2 linked regions of the Saccharomyces cerevisiae S288C genome follow. The gene in region 1 interacts genetically with each later gene. Each region holds a gene or a part of one and is shown in the gene's direction. Other genes may lie near its edges.

Region 1 (12,315 bases):
AAATATCCTTTAACTGACACTACCGATATCTTTTATAATCATGAATAATCCTTGTTATAAAATAAAGGCATTACTTCAGAGATGACCTTAAGTAACCTTCCCTTAAAATTGTTAAAGAACTCGCGGGGTAATATTTACGTTGACAGTGATATTTGTTTTGAGAAATCAAAGAATGAAGAACTTAGATGTAGAGTTAAAGGAGCAATACGAATAGGTGCCGTGATGAAGAAAAAAAATCATACAGACATTTGCTACAACCCTTGGTGAGACTGTTTCGATCATTTTTCTTTTTCTTTTTCTTTATTTTAGAAAAAATTGAACGAAATGACATTGGCAGAGTTGCTTGGACGGTCGAGAATAGCTCAAGTAGCTAACAATCATAAACCATTGACATACACTGGCAAAAAATTTCATCCAACACATCAAATCATCGAAACTAAGCCATCGACACTATACAGACAAGAATGGGGGTTGAAATCCGCTATTCCTTCGAAAATTAAATCTCGATATTTGGTGTACAACGATTTGGATACGTTGGAAAGAATTACCACATTCGAACCTAGAGGCGGTACGCAATGGAATAGGCTAAGATTTCAAGAAATGGGAGTACCAATTGTGTCTAATATAGGCAGACAAAATCCATTTTTCAAGTACATATCTCGTCCTGAGGATGAGTCTCATGCTAAATTGTCCTTATTCAAAGAAATGAAAGGAGATACAGATATTTCGCCTGCTGCTATGAAGAAGCGTTTGAAGAAGATAACAGCACTAATTAGATCGTTTCAAGATGAATTTAAAGAGTGGCTGGTGGAAAATCATCCGGATGAATTGAAATTGAATTCTAATAAGCTGGAAGACTATGTAGTGAAGTTTCTAAACAAAAAGTTGGAAACAAAAACGAATAAAAAATTTAACACTGAAATCATTGGTACAGGTGGATTATCATACAGCTTGCCAGGAAAGCTAAAAAACTCACCAAATGGTGTCATTCAAAGGACTGTAGTACCCGGTAGAATCTTGAACGTTGTTAAGGAGAACAACGACAATAAATGGCTGGCAGCTATTGGTGGGTTTGTGGCCGATGTGGTATTTTTCCAATCACCACCTAGTTCCTTTAACTCCATGGGAGATTTCATCAGAATGAAAACGTTCTTGTTCGAGATCTTGGAGGCATCTATGGAGAAAAATGGTTCTGTTTCGATGCACGCTAGATTACTCGAACCACAAAATGACAAGACCAGAGAATTTTTCAATAAGAGACCAATTTATAAACCATTGACCTCTAGAAGGGCACGTCGACCATCAGTGGGAAACATTCAAGAGGCCAATAACCTTTTGAATATAATCAAGGGAAATTGAGAAGAGAAAAAAAAAATGTGAACAATCAATGTATATTCAGAGTTCTGTAAATAAATAAAGAAAATAAAGTTTACATATTACTAAGGATTTTTGTCGCCTATTTTTACTATTTTTCAGGTGAAATGAAACGTTTTATATCACATTTTGCTATGATAACAAAGTTATTATGATTTTTATGTAGCCTATATTATTGACGCGTTGTTATAGCATTCTATGAATTTGCCTGTCATTTTCCACTTCAGAAAGGTCATCTAATTGCTCCCACCAGTTGAATAAGTAATTCTCGCAAATAATCTTAAACCAAGGCGTAAACTTGTAACTTGGGTCAGCAAACATAGTTTTCAAATCATTTGGTGAAACCCATTTGAAGTCTCTAACTTCATTGACGTTTGGGTTGACAGTCAAGTTTTCTTTAGCGTTGATCTTATAAAATAGGATGTAATCAATTTCATGTTCACCCCATGGTTCATTGCTTGGTGCCATGTAATGGATTCTGTTTAAAAAGTGAAACTTACCCCTTGTCTTAGTTTCATCTTCTGGAATACCTAATTCATGATCTAGTTTTCTCACCGCCGCAGTAATAGCGCCCTTAATCTTATCGTCTAGCTTACCCTTCAAACCTAATTCGTCATCAATACATAGTGGATGAGAGCAGCATGTGTTAGTCCAAAGATCAGGGAAAGTTATTTTTTCAGTGGCTCTTTGTTGTAAAAGTAATTCACCTTGTTCATTGAAAATAAAGACGGAGAATGCACGATGTAGTAAACCCTTTTCAATATTTTCCATTAAATGACAAACTTTCTTGGTACCGGCACCAATAGCATTATCGTCCCAATCCAAAACAATACAATTTTCATTCATTAACTTAATTTGCTCCTCATCATGACCAGAAAAACATGTTTCTCCGCTTTCGTCATTTGACGTCTCACTAGATCGGGTATTAGGTCTTTGTTGTAATGGAATAATTTCAGGAAACTCTTCCAAAATGTCTTCAGGTGTTTGGTTTTGCACTAATTTGGCGTAACTAGATACTGCACCATGGGGCATACTATTGTTGTCGGCAGTCATTGAGGTGTAATGAATTTTTGGCTTATTTTTACTCTTCCTGTATTCCAAATACGAATACTCTAATATTGAATTAAGTGGGATATACGCCTTCTTGTCACTAGAAAACTGTTTCCTGTTAAATAGATAAAAATGAATAAATAAATATAAATGGAGTTAAGACCGAAAAAGAAAGGCAACCCCCATCGACAAGAAAAGAGTTATGAATAATCATGTTTCTTAATAACAATTAAAGGGAAAAGAATCGGCTGGGCATCGTCATTGCGAAACTGTTGACTGGAAAAATTTCAATCACAATTAAGTTTTGTCCATTTCGTTCCAGCAAGAACGGAAACTTTTACCGATAGCAGCGGAAAAAAAGAAAAAAGAAAAAAAAAAGAAATTAATATAGGCAAAATAGCCGCATGAAGCCCTTAATAACCTATACTATTCTGTGACTGTTATTTATTTACCCTCGTAATATTAAAAATGTCCTATACAATTTCTGTAATAAAACCTAATTTTTTTAGGACCCTTGAGTGTTACCCTGCTCATGTTTTTATTTTTGTTTTAGAGAAATGTAAACAACAGTTTGGGAAAGTTTCAAGAATTGTAAACAACTAATCAAGGGATAATACTATTTTACTCTTTCCTTTAAACATGAAGAACTATTTTTTGTTTACGTTTTTTTCTGAATTGAACAATAAGATCTTGTTAATTTTTTTATCGCTTGATCTATTATCAGATCTTCTCTTTTGAAAAACTAGTCCTTTTCCAAATTACAAACTTTCTTTTCGTGTGGAGTTGATCAGTTCAGTTTCTCCAATACTTCTTAAGTCACTGAAAATATAACGAAAAAAAGGGCTCTGGAAGTAAACAGAGAAATTCGACGATATAATATGTCTTCCAAGCATTCAGATCCATTGGAGAGATTTTATAAGCAATTTCAAGCATTTGTTCAAAATAACCCTAATGTCATATCGGCAGCTCGAGCTGCCGCACAAATACCGGAATCTGCAAAAGCTGTTGTAGTACTATCCCCATATTCTTTACAGCATGTGTTCCCGAGAGAATGGGTAACAAAATCGTATAGGAAAACTATAGTCGAACGACCAGAAAGATTATTAGCAAGCTCGATGGGTATATCAGCTGCGATTACAATGTATCCATCCCTTTTCACCTTGAAATCCTCGCATCAAAGGAAAGGTTCATTGATGGCACCTCATGTGCTTAAAGTTCATGGCAGTAGCTGGCCGGCTGAGTTAATTGAACTTTGCCAAATGGCAGATGCTAAATTGCTAAAAGGCGAAATCGAAGTCCCAGATACTTGGAACTCAGGTGATATATACTTGAGCTCAAAGACAATTAAAGCTCTACAGGGAACAATTGGGGCCATTGAAACTGGTGTTGACTCAATTTTCAAAGGACCATCTGCAGAACATATTAGTAACAGAGCTTTTGTTGCTATACGGCCTCCTGGTCATCATTGCCACTATGGTACACCATCCGGCTTTTGTCTGTTAAACAATGCACATGTAGCCATAGAATATGCGTATGATACTTACAACGTCACGCATGTTGTCGTGCTTGATTTCGATCTACACCACGGTGATGGGACCCAAGACATTTGCTGGAAACGTGCGGGTTTCAAACCTGAGGAGGAACCTGAAGATTCATCTTATGATGATTTTGGTAAGAAATTTGCCGAATTTCCCAAAGTCGGTTATTTTTCTATGCATGATATAAATTCATTTCCAACAGAGTCGGGATTTGCCACAAAGGAGAACATTAAAAATGCATCTACCTGTATCATGAACTCTCATGACCTAAACATCTGGAATATTCACTTATCCAAATGGACAACCGAAGAAGAATTCAATGTATTATACAGGACAAAATATAGAACTTTATTTGCTAAAGCAGATGAATTTTTCAGGAGCGCAAAACTAGAAATGAATCAACAAGGGAGACCATTCAAAGGTTTGGTTGTCATAAGCGCAGGTTTCGATGCATCAGAATTTGAGCAAACTTCAATGCAAAGGCATAGTGTCAACGTTCCTACAAGTTTTTATACAACGTTCACCAAAGATGCATTGAAATTAGCACAAATGCACTGTCATGGCAAAGTTTTGTCTCTAATGGAGGGTGGATATTCTGATAAAGCTATATGTTCTGGTGTTTTCGCACATTTGATCGGTTTACAAAACCAAGATTGGGTTAAAGAATGGGGGTCTGAACAAGTCGTTAAAGAGATTGTTCGTGGTTGCAAACCGGCTTGGAAACCCTATAAGACAAAAAGAGCAAAAGATGTCATAAGAATATGGGCAGAAGAAGTTATCAGGCTGGGACGAGCAATGATACCGGAATTCGATGATATCATTTTTAAAGACGCAGTTAACAGCGCACCTTCTAATTCTCTACTAAAGGCTACTGTCGAACCAGCATCCACGTCGACAATTGCTCAAAGAATAATCAGATCTCATAGAAGCAACGCTTCCCCAGAAAAAGAACTTCATGAAAACAAGCCGAGAAGCACGGAAAAACAGGAACAAAGGGAAATTAGAAGCGATACCAAGGTCAAGCAGCTCTCGTCAAATAATAGAGCAGCTGAAACCCAAATTCCGTTTTTGCAACAAGAATTTTCCAGTGAGGATGAAGATGAAGAATACGTTTACGATGAAGAATTGAACAAAACTTTCAATCGCACGGTGGAGGATATTACCATTGATGATATTTCTAGACATTTGGAGACCTTAGAAATTGAAAAAAAAGGTGATGAAGATTCAGACCATGAGCTAAAAGAAAAAAATTGGAAAAACTCGCACCAACGCCGTCTACAAGGTAATGGAATGTATAAAATTCCCTCCAATACGAAACCGCATCGCATAAGACAGCCTCAAAACGCAAATACACCAACTTATGACGATAGTGATATATCAATGATTTCTCATGTTTCAAGAAAACATACAACAAGAAGTGGTGGAAGATGGTGATACCAATGCATATATAATGTTGTCTTGAACCCACTAAAGAAGTGACGCATATATTACTTTTTTGTATTTAGTAACACAATTTTTCTATTTTTATATTTCCTTGTATAGTTAGTAATTTTAATTTTTTTCCTTCTTTATCTCAGCTCTTCGACCATTTGGTCAAGAAGTTAGTTTTTTTCTCTTATTTTATTTGACAATATACTAATTTTATTATATGGTATTGTAAATAACATTTGAGGAATAAAAAGACAGTCACTCTATAAGCTTTATCAGCCTGACATTTTTTTATTATTACAAATATATCGTTGAAAGAAAGAAGCCTCTATACATCTCGCCCTCTTTCTATCATTAAATCAATGGAGGTTTACTGGCAACGTTATATTTCTACAATTTTAGACCATCAAACCTGAGGAATATGTATATCTACTTTCTCCCTTTCCTCTTCTTTAACTGGTTCACCACCCTGAAATATACACGCAAAGTCAGTGATGAATGGTTGAAGCATACTAATTGGAATATTTAGAGTTGGGGAAAACACGATGCATAAATTTCTTAGATTCATCTTATTAAACTTACTATTCTCATTGATCCTTACCAGCAGTTCAAAAAGAGCATACATCAACGATAGGTTAGCGTGAGGAACTAGGCCAGATTCAATAAGTTCCTTAAACCCCAATGATATTTGAACAGGATTATTATGATTTTCATCAACTACTCTTTTAAACGACAAAAATTGTTCGTCACCAAATAATAAATGGGGCAACTTTCTCAAGTACAACTTTAGTAACCCACTTACAGTATTCACACCAATGTAAAGACTTGGAGATGCCTCATCATCTTTAGCTTCAATACTTTCATTGTACCGACATAAATCTACATCGTACTCTTTATCAAACCTTTCTTGTAAAGTTTTGATAACTGTACTGGACCCGCTTAGTCTAAATATGCCTTCTTCCTGGATACCACGGTTTTTGTAAAGATACTCTAAGCAACGATAAACTACACTCGGTAAATCGTAAACGTTTTGGTACTTATGCGAACTCAATCTTAAACACGTTTCTAGTGACGAGCCAAATATTGCAGTGGACACATGTGGACCCGTAGAAGAATTTGACGAAGAGGATACTTCCATTAATTTTTTGCTTGGTGACTTAATGATAGAGTCAGGAGATGTTGGAGAATCCGAATCATTTGAAATTGTAATACCTATATGGTTCATTGCACTCGCCGGGCCGGTTAATTTTTTAAAAGGGAATAAACTTCTCATTTTGGCTCTCCTACTATCCTTCTCCTCCTCTGCATTCCCGCTTGAACTTGCTAGGAAGTTAGAGTGAGAAGATGGGTTTGAGTCAATACCATCGCTATTAGCAATGTTATTGCTACTATTACTAATATTGTTATTATTATTATATTCTTGGGTCAAATCAGTGACATATGATGGAGTATCGGTTGCTGAGATAGTTGCGTTTCCAAATTTAGAATGGTGTGTTCCTGCGCTCAAGTGAGATGCAGAATCAGTATCGTTTGCATTCCTCGAGCTAGATAACGATAAACTTTGTGAAGGATCAATGTAATCACTAAACGCAGAAAGCCATAATTCACGTTCCTTCGACGTTTCAGTACAAATATAATACTTTGTTGAGGTTGACAGTCCGCTTTTCTTATGCTCAGTGATCAAAAACCCATTTCTCGTTCCAAATCTATCTTCAGGGAGATTGGGTATAAGTTCTATAGAAGATTGTCTCAATTTAATAGTTTCAGTCAACTGATTTTTGTCAAACAATTGTAAAACATCATCGCGCAAAATACCGTACCGAACTCTCCATGTACTATTACCTGTTAGAGTCTTTGGTCTTCTCAGCAAAAGTGATCCGTCTTTCACATTATCATCCATCATTGGAGGTGTCATTACTGTATCTGTACTAATAAATTGGGCGATTTTTAAACCAACATTTTTGGGAAATTCAGGGACACTGAATATGCTTGTATAATACTGATTCAATATGTTCTTTCGCGTATCCACTTTTGTAGGTGATAAAGTCTGAAATAATTGTCTATCAGGTAACGTGGGCAATGGTAAATCGGGAACATGTGATTTCATATATACATCTAATTCGCGAACTTTATGAATAGATTTTGAAAATTTAAACATCTCCTTACCGGATTTCCTGTCTATGATTGCAATTAAAATGGATAAATCATCTTCATTATCCCTGTACAATGTGCTCAGTACTTCAATCTGGATAGTGCCAAAATCCTCCGGTTGAACGAATAATGGAATATCCGACTTAAGACTTTGGGCCACAGACTTCACGGTGCTCACGCTACTTGCATGAGGTCTTCTAAGTGTCTTCAACGAACCTTGGGGTGTTGAGCTAAATGTATTCAAGGTATTGGTTGAATGGATGGATGCCGTTTCTCCAAGTTGTTTTTGTTTTGATGAACTTTCCACGGGAGGATTTGGAGGAAGAGAAGCATTTTGACTTGTTGTTGACAATTTTGTAGAAAGATTGGGGAGTGATGAAGTTAACACAGGTTTCTTTAAATTTTTTGCACTTTGAGCACCAAAATTATCATCCTTTTTATTCAAGATAACCGGAGAAGCCAAATGGCTTGATAAAGGAGTAGAGTTTTTTATATTTCCACTAGAAGTAGGTGAGAAAAAAGTTGGAGGCGCTGGAGGTGGGGGTAAAGATTCGTTAATCGTGGATTTTATGGACAGAGGATCTTTACTGTCCGTATTGACTAGATCCTCTTCGCCAAATGAGGAGTCAAGTAATTGGGTGAAGTCGTCAAGTTTTTCTTTAGATGCTGGAGAGAAACCCAAAGCCTTGTTTTCACCCTCCTTGACTTCCAAAAGGGATGATGGACTTTTGGCTGCTGAAGTAGGAGTTCCAGTAGTGTATGCAGAGGATGTTATAGAAGAATAAACGCGGTCATTTTTTTGTATCGCGTCATTAGTTAGTTGTTGACTTTTACTTTCAGTCAGCTCATCTAAATTATTAGAGGTACTGGCCTTTAATGGAGAATGCAAATGGTTGTTGATAACAGCCGTCATTCTGTTAGGATTTTGAGGGGAACGCAAACGTTCTTGCAATGGAGATTTCGAACCTTTATTAGGTGATTTTATGGTTATCCTAGACGTCGTATAGGTAACAGAGGCAGCTGGGCTAGCCAACTGTTCTGAATGTATTTTTGTAGGGCTTGAGACAGATCTATTGATAATTTTGGGAGATGAGAAGCTACTATTTGCTTCTATTTCATCGTTTAGTATCATGTTCTGTAAATGCTTCCTACTTATTGAAGTATTTGATGTAACACCTATTTGAGGTACTGTAGGCGTTACACTTGTTTCAAGTGCAACGTCTGAACCTTGTTGCAATGGAGGGGACAATGTCGGTATTGGCAAATTAAGACTCTTGATATGCGCTTTCCTTTCAGCAGATCTTGGGGGTAACACAAATGATTGATCGTTAACGTATGAATCTCTTGAGTCATTTTGAACTTGCTCAAGCACAACTTCTAAGGAAGCTTCTCTGTTTTTTTGTAACATATCAATAACCTTTTCCAAACTCTCAATTTCAGTTTCATATTCTTGGACTTGTAGCTTTAGCTTAATGTTTTCCGTAAAAATTTCATCATAGGACGGATTTCTTTCTTTTCCTGAACATGTTCCTTTTTCTATATGTTCTATAGATTTGTCCTTTTTGGATCTATGATCATTGTACTGCGCCAACAATTCAAGGGTGGTACTACCACCATGAGTTGTGGTCAAATTATCTGTCATTGCGTGCTGTTAGTTGAGTGTGAGTTTATTCTAGAATATACACACAGATACTCCTAGCAGCCAGTGTTTCAACAAACGTGATGTTGTATATGCCTGATGTAATCACGAACTCGAACAAAAGGCAAAATGGTAGAAGGCAAGGACAAAGAAGAAAAGAGAAAAAACTTCCAGATACAAAGCTAACACACAAAGGTAAACGGTGATTAAAATGGATATATCGTTGATGTATTTAACAATCTTGAAAAATTCCGTTTAAAAAACATACCAATACGCGCAATAAAAACGGTTCTTATCTGGTACTTTACCTAGTCAGACGATTATTGTTCTTTATAAAACGGCCGCGTTTTTTTTCCAACATCACCGCCGCCATATAACTTTCGACATTCTTAGAGTTGTGGTATAAAGAGCAATGCATATACGTATGTAATCCTAATTGAAATGCTATCTTTGTAACATAATGAATGGTTCAGTTGAGCACATACTTACCATCACCTCCCTCGACAAATATGTCCTGCACATTCTCGAGTGTGATGAGTGTCTGCTTTATGACCATGTCGGCAACTGTGCTGCCGATATGTGGCAAAGCTGTAACATCCCATCTGCGAAGTAACTCTTGCTTAACGCGTGTTTCCTCATTTTTAAACACATCGAGACCACAGCTTGCCACTTTTCCAGATTCAAGAGCGTCTAGTAGCACATCTTCATCTATGCATGTGCCTCTCCCAACGTTAACTATCCTGACACCATCTTTACACCAGGCCAAACTTTTACGATTGATAATATTGTTTGTAGAGGCCGTACTGGGCAAGGCCAAAATGATCAAATCCGCATTCTTCCAAGTATTTGGATCATCTAGATCAGAATGGTACTTAGCGTTGTAATCAAGTAGACTCTTTTGGACGGGACCGGTCCTTTTGTAGTATTCAATGCTCATGTTGAACACTTTGTGCAAGTTAGACCCTATATTTTGTCCGATGGAGCCAAACCCCAATATTAGAACTTTTTTATTCATTGGAGATTCCATTTTTTTCCCGCCAACCGTGTACTTTTCTGCTAAATGTACCACTTTCCTATCCTTGTTAGGCTTGCATTTGTCTGTTCGAGAGGGAAATTTCATTTCCTGACCGTGGTAACTATCTGTAACAATTTCATACGAGTCACTAGAGATATATTTCTTACACTGTTCAACATTACCATTTTCCACGTATTTAAAACAATATTCCCAAAATGAAGTCATTCTAAAGCAGCTAATTGCTAGGAAAATAGCCAATTCTGTGACATGGTCAGCAGCATGTGGTCCAATGTTGCATAAAGTGATACCTTTCGATCTTAATAACTTACCGTCAATAAAGTCACAGCCGACCCATGGTACAAGGATTACTTTTAAAGATGCGGGGAAGAATTCAATATAACTCGAAGGGTTTCCTAACACAGTGAAAAACTCCTCAGTGAGCCAAAAGCCGTTTATTCTATGAGTTTCCAAAAATTTAACAAAATCATCCTTTGTGGACATCTCATATTTATAGAATTCTACCCTTTCTGCCAGTTTGCGATATTCAGGAAGATGACTGGCGACTTCCCATTGGGTTTTATAAGGCACCAAAATTCTTGGTTTGGCAGAATAAGTTACATCTGCTATGTCAATTGAAGTAATCATTGTTATTTAAAGGTTGCTACTTTTGTACACTCAAGTATTTTTCTGTATTTGAGAGAGAGCTATTTGTACTCCACACTCCACCTTTTAGATCTGCGTCAAAGTGTCAGAATAAACATACCGTAAAACGGAATGACTACCGCCACCCCAATGACATAAAAACGGAAGAAAAAGAGCAAAAACCGAGCGCCAAACTATCTTATTCAACGAATCAAATAACAATACAAATGCAGAGGTAAAACATTATTCGCCACATATATATGTACATATCTATATGTATACATATTTTTATATATCAATCTTTTGAAGAGCAAAGTGACCTCTTTGTTGTTATCCAAAGTTTAACCAGTCCAGTTAAGCCGGATCCCAGGGACAGAACGGCATACGTTCCCTTTGGAGTTTTTAAATTTAGAATATCTGATGTATTAGCCATGCAATCAAACGATAATCTTGCAATATCTAAATAAACAAGTGTCTTTTCATCCTTGATGGCCTTTAGTTGTTTGTGTATTAACACCTCTGCGTCGTTATTAACATTTAGGTCATTTAACAACTGTTTCCTAATTGGCGATTGTGAGCCATCGTCTTTATGGGCCTGATGCATCAGTATGGGTGAGAGTAGTAACGCGTTATTTTGAACTTTTAGTTGCACTTCCAATTCTAATTGTCTCTTCTGTAAGCTTTGCAGGTTGAGCCAATGGTCCTTCAAGCTTAAAAGAATGTCGTATTGCCATGCAAGAGACTCTTGTCTACTGACAAAGGAATAGAATGATTTATTTGTCCATATTTTCAATTTGTATAGCAAGTCTAATTCATCAAAGATACCATAATACAAGTCCAAAAATTCTCTCAATGAAGCTTCATTAAACCATATTTTCTTAATTTGGTCAATTTGAAAGTTGCACTTTCTGGTTTTATTGAATTTCCCCAAGAAACTGCACACTCGGAATGGTGTGCCGCCAAACCTTAAAATATATCTAAAAGTACTTAATTGTTGACTGATAAAATCAATTTTCTTGTCAAAATTTCTCAAAAGAGACAGGAGAAGTACTTTAATTACCGTGATTGGATGCCTTAGTGCGACTTTTACAGTCAGATTTTTCAAAATCTTGGTATAGTACGTTAATACGGAAGGGTCCAAAACAGTTAAATTTCGCTTAGACTTTTCGATAAACAGTTTTAATATATCCAGAGCGTATTTGATAATTTTGGCTAATTTGTCTCTACCAGATAGAGAATCCAATATATATTTTAAGATGGTAATATTATCCACCATCTTTGTTTTTGCTTGAGAATCCTCATCATCACTTCTCGAGGATTCAGTATGCGACTCGCTTCCACTGCCTGCACTGAACTTCTCTGCACCGGCGTCTGATGAATGTGGATGGGTATTGTCATCCTGGGCGTCCTGGTAACTTGCCCCAGAATAAGGTGGTGTTTCTGAACCGGAAACGATATCTGTCGTGCCAAACTGACTC
Region 2 (12,103 bases), on another chromosome or scaffold:
TCAGCGATTAAAGTCCCGTCATCAAGTTCAAGCACTGGCACTGTGCCTGAATAGTTCTTGGCAAGAAATTCAGGCTTCTTGTGCTCTCCCTTCCAGAGGTTGATCCTCACAAATTGCACACTTGATAGCATGTTCTTCTCAGCCAAGGCAATGCGGACTCGGGCCGGATAAGGCCCTGCGGGTGTGTCATATATTATCATTTTTTGTTTCATCTTTTCACCTCCATTGTAAATCAGGAAACCTCTGCCATTCATGTATCCTTTGTAGGTACTTTATATAGAGCACCAAGTTTCTATCCTTTAGCAGGAAGCACATTATTAATCATTTGAGACGTAAACGAATGAATTAGTAAGCAGTGAAAGAAATTCGAGCACTAAGCGCGACCTAAGGGAACGGACACGGAACGGAGAAACTGAAGTATCAAATACTTCCATTTGATCAAACCACTTGTATCCACTCCCTGTTTTGCACACGGTAGTAGAAGGTCTTTTGAATATTTACTGTAAATACCGATTTCTATGTCCTTCTTGTCCGATTATAGGATTCGGGTCATTTCCAGCGCCTACTTTCCTTCTTGATTTCAAAATGTGTGGTTAACGTACTCCCAATTGCACTACTGTTCCTACAGTTCACGCGCACCTCTTTCTGATGAAAATGCAGCTGCATTAATCTGCGATCTATTGGCATCTCGCTCTTGTATCTGCCCTCCATTCGTGAAATTTTACTCTATTACCATCTTTGATCATTTTTTTGTCGCAAATGTGATACGGCATCCATCGAATTTTGCTCGTAATTGTTTGCCATTATCGCCCTTTTCATTCCGTATTATTCATCCACTCCGCTTCATAATGGGTTCCAAAAAAAGAACTATTGTACGAGCTTTTAGACTCACGAAAACATTACTTGAACAATAATTAGCGCCTGCAGAACTTGACATAATAAAATTCCATTTTCGATATCTAGCTGTCTGAAGATATGATATCTAAGTAATACGGGAAAGTTTCCGCTATTATTCTCTGTTGCAAGCTCACGTGAAAATGTGGATTCGCGAGTGGGGTGTAAGTGAGGATTGCCAAGCCTTTTGTTCGAAAACTTCTGCAGGAAGCGTTGTGTTGCAAGGATGATGCAGCATGAAATATGTGTTTTCTTTTTTTCGAGGTTCACTCCTACAGGTGATTCCTTCGAGAAATTCTGCAACCCATTGTGATATGATGCCTGGCCGAAAGATTTCTTCATTTCTTCGGAGCAGGTTCGGCCCGAAATCCTCATGATCGAGCCGAATGCCAAGAAGTAAAACACCAGGATGACTAACCAGTTATTATCATGTGTATACAGTACTTTGGTACCTTTATCAAGAAGTATACTAAAATATACCAACACCACACACATGCACATGGTAGCTGAGCGAACAGTTTCGAGATTTCAGCATTAATTTCATCTAATAAGACTTTCCGTCTGCTTTCAAGATCAACGTGCTGAACATTTTTACTCTGCTTTCATAATACTCCCATTTTAGGCTTTGATTCAAAAGCCCACTCAATGCAATACCTAAAATGATATCCTTCAAAGATATGTTTAATGAATATGCAGCCACAGCTTTGAATTCAGATTGACCTTGTGTTGCATTAAGTCAGACACCTCTAGATTTGTGTGGCTGCTCTCAAGAAAGGATGTTGAAGAAGATTTATTTACGGAAGAAATAACTGTATACGGCATTTTATTCTTTCTTAAACGAGCAAATTAAAGAATAGACGGATAGAGACTGGAGCTTTAGCATGTGTTCCGAGAAGTCCTTGACACGCGCCACGGTTGTTATGCCGCACACTACAATGATGTGTTTGAAAAAGTATATTAATGCCTATTGTCAAGATGCAATTCATCAATTCCAGCATTGAGTGATTCTTCTCTGGTGCGGTAAAACATAAATTTTAAATCTAGTACTCAACCACCACTGAACAACTATTAATCATCGTGGAAATTATTATGACGGAAATTGAATTTGGGCAACCCCTTCCCAGCAATCTAGACTATGCTGTTTCTTTTGGCATTCCTACATGGGATTCGGCAATAGGCTATGCGGAAAAGGTGCCAGAGGTAATAGGCAAAATGGCTACAGGATATCCGAGGTACTTTCCTCAACCCCCCGTCCAGAGGCTTTGTGCTTACTTTGTTAAGAAATTTGGGCGAGGTTCAGAAAACTGTCGTCCTTTTCCATCCGTTAACCTGGGTTTAAAGTGTTTCGAGTACGTAAAATCTGTCTCAGGACCTGAAAGTAAAGCTCACCTTGAAGTGGAAACAGTTACGATTAAAAACCGTGGGGCAAAAACGTCGAAAGAACCGGCGGAATTGGTGCTAACCATTGCTGCTGTCCTTGCATCGGAGGAAGAGTTCGAGACTGTGAAAGAGTATTGGAAATTAAGAGGTGAATGTGTATCTAGTCGATTGGCGTTGTCTGTCAACCAACTTCTTGACTGCGCTAATCATGGCTCAGAGCAGGTATTGCGTGAGCTAGAGGCTGGTGTTTTTGCAGCAAAGAAGGGGGAGGAGAAAGCAAAGAACCTGATAAAGGGAAGGATAGTTGAGAATCGCTTCAGGCCCTTTGGTTTGGAGAAGAAAACCCCGAATTGGGAGGGACTCAACCTCAACCCAAATGAAGACGTTTATCTTGTATCAAGTGGCATGTCTGCAATATCTACGGCTCGTAATTTACTCACCTTTTGGGAGGAGAAGAAGAATTCAGGAGATTCATTAAACAAGACCACCTCTGACCAAAAGAAAAAGCCATTATTATGTGACACTGTTGGCATCTTCGGCTTCCCTTTCAAAGATACGCAGGTCATTATGACTAAATTTGGAAAATGTAAATTTTTTGGATTTGGAAATTCTAGAGACGTTGTCGAATTACAAAAGTTTTTAGAAACAAGCAAACAACGCATTCTTGCCGTTTTCGTCGAGACACCTTCAAATCCTCTGCTGAATATGCCGGATTTGAAAAAATTGAGGAGTTTGGCCGACCAGTATGGCTTTTTTATTGTAATTGATGATACTATTGGGGGCCTTAACGTTGACATCTTGCCCTATGCTGATATAGTCAGCACGTCCCTGACTAAGCTTTTCAATGGTGCTAGTAATGTAATGGGCGGCTCTGTCGTTTTAAATCCGAAATCATCTCTGTATCCATATGCTCGTGAGTACTTCAGGAGCGCTAATTTCGAGGATTTGTTATGGTGTGAAGATGCGATAGTTTTAGAACGTAATTCCAGGGATTTTGAAGATAGAACTTTACGTGCTAATGCAAACACAGGAATATTGTTGAATGATTTGCTTTTACCCGAGGAGGGGAAAATATGCAAAAAGATTTATTATCCAACTGTTACTTCTAAGGAGACCTTTGAGAACTACGAAAGTGTACGTAATGAACGTGGTGGCTATGGATGCTTGTTCTCTGTAGCCTTTTTCAATGAGGGCGATGCAAAAGCATTCTATGACTCTTTAAAGGTATTCAAGGGACCTTCTAATGGTACTAACTTTACCTTAGCATGTCCATATGTCCATCTGGCGCACCACTCAGAATTAGAAGAAGTTTCCAAGTTTGGGGCCGACCCCAACATTATTAGAGTAAGCGTAGGTTTAGAAGATATCCAGTGGTTATTGAAAGTTTTTTCAAGTGCTTTAGATGTTGTGAAAAGCAGAGGCTCCAAACACTCATGAAGCAGATCATGAGTAGAATATCAAAAATCAAGAATTCTTTATAATCTTTATAGAATATTGTTTATAAAAGTTTTTTTCCATTCTAGCATATAATTTTTTTGGAGGAAGTCTTTTCTGGAACCTTCACATGGATCTTAATTAATGAAAGTAGACAGAGCTCATAAGATCACTAGTTGTTTATAAACTGAAGATGTTCCTTCTTATTGACTTCAACATTATATCGCTCTGAATTAGTTGATCTGTAACTTCAGAGTTTCTTTACCAGAATAAAAGCGTCACAGTTTTTCTTTAGTTTATATGTACACAGGTTGGGGTTTACTATAAACTATAAAAAAGAAGTGTTGTCGCCGCTATTTTAAGGTTTATACACAATTTTAACCAAAAAAAAGAATAAGTTGAGCAACGTTGGAACTGCCTCTGCAACGAATTCCGGCTATATACAACCTGCATCTTTGAAATTCAAATATCCAAAGTTAATGAAGAAGGATAATAATTTTCATCATTCAAAAACTTTAGATCTTCCACGGGCCTTTCCGCTTGTGGAGTAATCCTGAACGCATGTCTGTGAATTGGTTCTTCCCAATCAATCACTGCTGAATGTTGAACTCTGCGGTTATCCCAAATGACGACGGAATGAGGTTCCCATTTGGCTCTTAACTGTAAATCATGGCTGCTCTCCACTAGATTGTACAAGAAATTCAAAAGTGATTCAGATTCTTGTCTTTTCAATTCGACTATTTTCCTAGAAAATGCACGATTGACATACAAGCATTTCTTTTTCAAGACAGGATGAACTCTGACCAGTGGATGAATATGCGTGACAGGTGCTCTTCTTTTTATGCCGCCCTGGCGCTGTGAATTCTCTGCCTGTTCCTTTGAGCTATGGATGACATGAAGCGTGCTCAAGAAATCTTGCAAAGGCTTCGACAACCTGTCGAAAGCCTCGATCGTATCCGCAAATAACGTATCTCCACCACCATCAGGACCTTCAACAACACTAAAGAAAGTATAAGAAGGTGGCTGTAACTCGTAAGAGACGTCTGTGTGCCAGCCACCAGATGATGTCGAGTCATCAAAAACTCTTGCAAATTCTTCCGCATCAGGTCTTCGGAAAGTGATATGCAGCTCAGGATTGTTTTGAGGGTGGCCACTAGTTTGATGAATGTGCAACTTGCCAAAATGTCTTCCGTATTCAGTCACATAATCGGGTCCCTCGTCAGCAAAATTCTGATTTCTAAAGACAACTACTCCCTTTTGGGCGACAAGCAAAGCGAGTTCATCTTTTGCAGCATCAGAAAGATCAGTTAGCTGGATCCCATTGATCTCGAGACCTAATTTCGGGGTGATCTTCTTCACCTTTAGTTGACCAACGTTTTCTTTTGCAAAAAGGTTTGAAAAGTTACCGTCAGCTCTCAAAGCAGGATCATGGTATTCGTGAAATTCCAGCGGGCCATACTTTTCAGTAGGATCCCATGTAGGCAAATAATCTGGATACTTCGATTTCTCTCTATAAGATTTACGGATTTTCAATAAACCAGATGGAGAGACCTCATCTTGGCCATCATAAAAATGGGTATCAAAATTCCCGTAACCTTGCTTGGAGGTATAATTCAGGTTTTTCAACCCATTTGTAATGATTTTGACTGGTAAATCGGTAGATGGAAGAGGGATTGCTGTTTGAGCTGCTGCAGGAGACATATTTTAACTGGGTTACTGTGCTATGTTTGTACAAGTATGAAAGGGCCGATTATACAGCAATAGTACACCTTTTTATATGTTTCTGTCATCAAGAACTGTTACTGACTCCTTAACTTTTCCAGCATTCTTGTTGTATTGCCTACATACCTTCTTTATGTTAGTAGTATGATAAATAAACTCCATGTGCCCTGTGGCGCCAAATAAGAAATCGACTCAAGCCACATTGAGGCTTTTGTCATCATTCCCCTATATACTAATATAGCACCTTTCCAAGGGCCAAGAGCTCGTCCAATGAGACGCATGAGTTGGGTATTTTAAGCTGCACAGTAGACTATATAGATAAAGCTAACTAGTATGTAAAAAACGTTACATGCTATGGCGCTCTTAGAAAAAACGCATAATATAAGCTTCAAGTCAGTTTAAGCTATAGTTCGCACGGATATCTTCAAGAAGACCGATTTGTTGTGGCTGCCATCCCAGCTCTTTTCTGGTACCTTCGCTTGAAACTGGGCCATCTCTAGTGACAAAACAAGTGAGGAAGCCAAAATGACTTTCCGCGTCATCAACAGGGATAGAGGCCACGGGAACATTCAAAATTTCTCCAATCACACGCGCAATATCTTTGAATGGTATACCTTGTTCACCAACGCAATGATACACTTGTCCTGTTTTTCCTTTCTCTAAAACAAGTCTGAACAGAGGAGCCGTATCCAAACGATGTACAGCCGCCCAAGCGTTTGTGCCTTGTCCGACATAGCCAGATTTTCCGGCAGCTTTGGCAATATTCATTAATATTGGTACAAAAGCCTTGTCCCCCTTGCCATGAACCGAGAATGGGAGTCTGACAATTCTTGCTGAAACACCTTTGTCTTTGTAACTCAAGGCAACCTGTTCAGTGACAGCACGCAAAATTTTGGAATCTTCATCAATACCATCCTGTTCGTTAGCAACTTTGTTTGGTCGCAAAGAAAGTGTACCATTCGTATATAAGAAAGGCTTGTTAGAACCTTTAAGTGACTCTAGCATAGCTACAGTGGCCTGACGGTCAATTTCGCAGCACTGTTCAAAATTTTTAAAATCATGCACAAATCCTAAATGAATAACGCCATCAGATTCAGTGGCACCTTTTTTCAAAATTTCCAGATCCTTGAGATCACCGCGAAGGATTTTTGCAGCAGGATCAATCGACTTAATCTTTGCAGCAGCCTCGTCTGACCTTGCCAAGCCAACAACTTCATGACCCGAGGATATTAGTTCAGATAATACGGCAGAACCAATGAAGCCAGAAGCACCAGTTATAAATACTTTCATTTTTTGATCTCTTTTTTATTTTCTTTTGTAAAAGTTGAGTTATCACGCCTTAGCGCTTATGAATACAAGAGTGATTGTAAGCATAGTTGATAGAAGCGGGAGCCGTTATTTATACGTTAGTTGAGTACTTGAGGGTCTTCATCGCCTACTTTTTTTCCTTAATATCCTTGTGTTAGTAATCATATCTTCAGGAAAGCCAAGAACTAATGGCAAATTAAATCCGCGGCTTTCCCTTTAAACTTTTTCCAGCACAATCTATTATGTTGAGAAGTTCCGCTAATTTCCGCATTGGAAAAAGAATCTCATCTGCAAAAACGATGGTTTCTTTCTTCCACGGAAGACTTATGTCCGTCCTCTCTATTTTCATATTGTTCTTTCTCTCTCTTTTTGCATAACGTCACAATACCCTAGTGCTACCGTCATTGGCGCAGCATAAGAGTATTGCATTTCATGTCTTCAGATTTTGCCTCGCGAAAGAGAAAACACTAAGAGGTGAAAAACAATAAAATTATGTTCCAGTGTGTCATACGTGAGGTTTTATCACGGGGCCACCGTTCTCATTGGTTACTTGGTTGTAAATGCTTTGCGTTGTGATAAATATATGGCATGAAAAATCATATGACTTCAAAAATGAACAGATTCCAGATGCCAAGCCCGCTTTCCTTCGGCTAACTAGATGCGCGCTCGCCCTTGAAATCCTTAATCAGCACAACTCAATTGTATGGACGTGAGCTCTGACTTTTGCTTCCGACAATTAGGCCTTTCATATCTGTCCTTCTGAGATGTTATGTATCATGCATTTTGTATACACTATGCAACACCCTTCGCAATGGCGAAAGCGGAAAGTCATGGCACCATCAATCGTGCTCTGACCAGTATGTAAAAAATTTCTTAAGCCTCACCATGTTACAGATTGGCCAGAGCATCTGGATATTCACCACACCTGATTGGGAAGACTCATAGTTTTATGAAAGATTTCTTCAGAAAAAATGACATGCTGATTTTGTCTACTTGCGTGTGCTTTCAGTTCTTTACCAGTACGATTTGGTCACGTGACACGCGATCAACTACATTCAATCCATCTGCCCCTTGCTGGTTCCGAGTATCAATTCTAAATTGTGGCTACCACTATAGCAATAGTACGCCAAGCTCGGATGCAAATCACGGATATCTTCTTAGCATCCGAGTTCAACATCCGAGTTCAGCATCCGAGCTTTGCGGCGAAAACTTAACAAGATAACGGATAATCAAAGTTCTCTGTGATGTTACGGAGTCTTTGGTCTGCGCTGCTGACTAAAATAGTGTGACACAACGTACATAGCGCCACCCATATTGGCCGATAAGGACCAGACTTGTGGCGATGACTGTTAACTCTCCGCGAATCTTTTTCGAAGTCGCAGGTGGCATTGCAGAAACAAAAATGTGTGGCTTCTGAAAAAAAAAATAGGCACCCCATTTGATGTAAGACATCTGGCTACCCCTTGTACATTTCAGTCACTGAGCATCGAAGGCACGTCTTTGCAGCATGCAATAGTGTTCGAAGTTCTTCCATTTACGGTGGCTCCCCTCACTGGAACGGTGATGTAATATGTAGATAGCTAAAACATTTCGCAGGTCCCTAGGAACTGGACGTCAAGATGAATAGGTATTGTTAAAAATGCGTACCTGTTGAATTGAAGAGGTCGGAAAAATCAAAGTACTTAAACAGACGATTGATTCGACATTTAGCTATTCAGGTTGCACTTCTTGAAGGTTGAACAAAACATCAAGAGAAAATAAAAAAGAAAATATAACAAAAAAGAAATGTCAAAAGTTGACGTAAAAATTGGAGCAGACTCGATCTCCTCTTCTGATGAAATCCTAGTTCCTTCGAGACTCGCTGATGTTACGCTAGCATTCATGGAGGAGAATGACGCAGCAGTTCCAGAAATCACGCCTGAACAAGAAAAAAAATTAAAGAGAAAGCTTTTTCTCACAATATTCACCTTTGTCTCTGCCATTAACCTTTTACTTTACATGGACAAAGCCACTTTATCCTATGATTCGATTCTAGGCTTCTTTGAAGATACAGGTCTTACCCAAAATACTTACAATACTGTAAATACGCTGTTTTACGTTGGTTTTGCAATCGGCCAATTTCCTGGACAATACTTGGCTCAAAAGTTACCACTTGGGAAATTCTTGGGTGGGTTGTTGGCCACATGGACTATACTTATTTTCCTAAGTTGTACCGCATACAACTTTTCCGGTGTCGTTGCGTTGAGATTTTTCTTGGGGCTAACAGAGAGTGTTGTTATCCCGATATTAATTACCACTATGGGTATGTTCTTCGATGCTTCAGAAAGAGCTGCTGCTCAGCCATTTTTCTTTGCAGCATGTATGGGGTCTCCAATTCCAACTGGGTTTATTGCTTATGGTGTTCTTCATATAACAAATCCCAGCATTTCGTTATGGAAAATATTCACTATCATCATTGGTGGTTTGACTTTTATCATGACGGTTGTTGTAATTCTGTGGTTTCCTAATAATCCTGCTGATGTGAAATTCTTTTCAATACAAGAAAGGGTATGGATTATCAGGAGAGTTCAGGCATCCACAGGCTCTTCCATTGAACAAAAAGTCTTCAAAAAGAGTCAATTCAGAGAGGCAATGAAAGATTATATAACCTGGTTATTTGGATTGTTTTTTCTTCTTCAACAGTTAGCCAACAATCTGCCCTATCAACAGAACCTGCTATTTGAAGGAATGGGTGGAGTTGATGCTCTAGGTTCGACATTGGTATCAGTTGCCGGTGCTGGTTTCGCCGTCGTTTGTGCCTTCATCGCTACGTTGATGTTAGCAAAATGGAAAAATATTTCAGCTTTAACAGCCATCTTTTGGACTTTACCAGCATTGGTGGGATCCATCGCTGCAGCTGCTTTACCATGGGACAATAAGATTGGTATCTTAGCAAATATCTGTATGGCAGGACAAATATTTGGTATTCCTTTTATTATAGCTCTTAGCTGGGCAAGTTCAAGTGCATCTGGGTACACCAAAAAACTCACAAGAAGTTCGGTGTCCTTATTTGCGATGGGAATTGCTAATATCATATCACCACAAATATGGAGAGAGAAGGACTCTCCTCGCTTTTTACCTGCCTGGATTGTTCAAATCGTTTTATCATTCTCTCTTGCACCAGCCATTTTGTTACTGATCCATTTCATACTAAAAAGAAGGAATAATCAAAGACTAAAAAATTATGACGAAAATTTACAAAATTATTTGGACAGAATTCAACTCATTGAAAGCGAAAATCCTTCTTCCATTGAAGAAGGGAAAGTGGTAACCCACGAGAACAATTTGGCAGTCTTTGATTTGACTGATTTAGAAAACGAAACTTTTATATATCCTTTGTAAATATTGATGTTTTGTTGTGTAAATGTTCTATCTGACACTTAATAATTAGAAAATTAATTTTTTAAACTTTCCGGCTGCAAGAAAGAGGAACTGTGTCTCTTTGAAAGGCACAATTTCCCAAAGAATCATTTACAATGGTAAATAGCTTACTGCTTAGAAAATAATAGATAATTGAATAAATTTATAGAGGAATTTCTTGACAATTTCTTCAAAACAGCCGGTAAAAGTCCATTAAAGATTAGTTTTTCTTAAATAAATCACCTAAACTTTCAAATTTAGCATAAAAAACATGTAGATATTTGTTCTCTGTACTTTATAATCTAACATTTTATAAGACAGAGACTAGTAACCCCTCTAGCCTGTGGTTAAAATACGCAAAACCTTTGAACCCTCAATATTTTTGCCATAATAATGACAACTATATTGTACCCATTTGTTCTTGAGTTGTCCGTATGGATGGAAAGCAGCACTCGAGTTTGCTGAAATTACATACCTCGGTATGCAATATGCCCAGAAAATTTGTAAATGATAATTTACATAACAATTCAAAACATATTGATGTTTTTCGTGGGTAACCATAGTTCTTGGAATGTCAACTGAGGGTATTTGCACTTCAAAAAAAAAAATTTATTAAATGAGACTATATACAGTGAGCACAACCTGTCTAATACAACGGCAAAAATTATATACATTGGTAGATTTTCAAAATTGAACTCTTTGTGCTAAAGAATTGTCACAACAGTTTAAAAAATAGTTTGAATTCTTCAAATTGACCCCATATTAATAAGACCTGATGCGATTCCGGTCTCACCCAGATTAGAGAGGGAATTTAATTTTCTTAGGACCGTAGCTACCAAAAATCTTTGTGTGGTATTGATTATATGATCGTGCTTGCGAAAAAAATAGAAGACTAAAAGTAGCATTAGTTTACTAACTTTCTCCTCGTATCTTTCAAATTTGTATTCCCCTCAAAAGTTACTCAGGTTAGGGAAAATTCCAAGTAGCTTATCAAGATCAATTGCCATTAGTTGATTCAAGGCTTCATTGTCATAATTCATGAGGTCAATTTCACTCTGTAAAGATTCGTCAACATCTTCAGTGAAGTTTCTGGAAAATTCTTGTGCGGAAATGAGTTTTTCTAATTCTTCCAAAATCTCCAAATCAAGACTTCCCAAGAATTGTGGATTGTTTAATTTTGATGTGAACGAAAAGGACTTATCCCTTCCCATACCCCATTTTAAACCGACAATCCTATGGATTCTTGAATATCTTTCATCCATAACGGCGTCACTCTTCCAGTAGTCGGATATAAACGCAGACAGCGCGTCAGTATCCACCAAATAAATGATATACCTGAAAATAGAGACAGAAATGAACGAACCGAGATAACTCTTTTCCAGTTTCGAGATAACAATTTCTACAAGTAATTTCATATGATATGACATCAACTTGATCATTTTTTCAATGACTCGACTAAGTCTTCCGTTTCTATCATTCAACATTCCCATGGCTGCAGAGGATCTGTCGCATGTATCCTTCTTATAAAATAATCTCACGAGCAAGGTGGCCTGGAATATGAGTAATCGATGTATCGAAAAGCGAACAACTTTCTGAGTGGCAAACCCAAAAGGTTCCCGTAAATGCAGAAGAGATCCATTAAAGTATTCCGAGATTAATTTTAGCAACGTTAAATAATCTTGTATAGCGGTAAAAGTAAAGCGGTGATAATATGTTTTGTACTCCAAAGCGTTTTTGAAACATTGATTTTCAAAATGCAAAGATAAGCTATCATAGATGTTCATTGTACAAGTGTAGCTAATCACATTAGCTATGAATGTTTCATTTTCCTCAAAAGTGCTAAAGTCAAAAGATTCTTCATTTGCTAAGGAAGAGGGAACATTGATATGTAAGCTCTTCATCCTTGGTTCTCCAAGAGAACTTAAAATGAGAGGGAATTTCTGATTTAAAAAATCTTTTGTCTTGT

The links.
Region 2: mutations in HOS3 (region 1) and HSU1 together harm fitness more than expected from each alone (negative genetic interaction), as found in Saccharomyces cerevisiae (one large-scale study listed by BioGRID).

Annotation. Positions count from the first base shown.
Region 1 is NC_001148.4:326,304-338,618, forward strand, and holds HOS3 (histone deacetylase), read left to right. Parts: upstream 1-3,302; coding exon 3,303-5,396; downstream 5,397-12,315. Other genes in the region: mitochondrial 37S ribosomal protein bS1m MRP51, read left to right, coding at 325-1,359; isopentenyl-diphosphate delta-isomerase IDI1, read right to left, coding at 1,561-2,427; GTPase-activating protein BEM3, read right to left, coding at 5,797-9,183; YPL113C (glyoxylate reductase), read right to left, coding at 9,650-10,840; PEX25 (Pex25p), read right to left, coding at 11,133-12,315. UniProt on the Saccharomyces cerevisiae protein: Responsible for the deacetylation of lysine residues on the N-terminal part of the core histones (H2A, H2B, H3 and H4).
Region 2 is NC_001144.5:21,586-33,688, forward strand, and holds HSU1 (cystathionine gamma-synthase), read left to right. Parts: upstream 1-1,983; coding exon 1,984-3,711; downstream 3,712-12,103. Other genes in the region: glutathione transferase GTT2, read right to left, coding at 1-254; JLP1 (sulfonate dioxygenase), read right to left, coding at 4,171-5,409; YLL056C (uncharacterized protein), read right to left, coding at 5,824-6,720; YCT1 (Yct1p), read left to right, coding at 8,524-10,119; YLL054C (uncharacterized protein), read right to left, coding at 11,088-12,103. UniProt on the Saccharomyces cerevisiae protein: Plays a role in inorganic sulfur assimilation during sulfur-limited conditions; catalyzes the conversion of O-acetyl-L-homoserine (OAH) into homocysteine in the methionine biosynthesis pathway.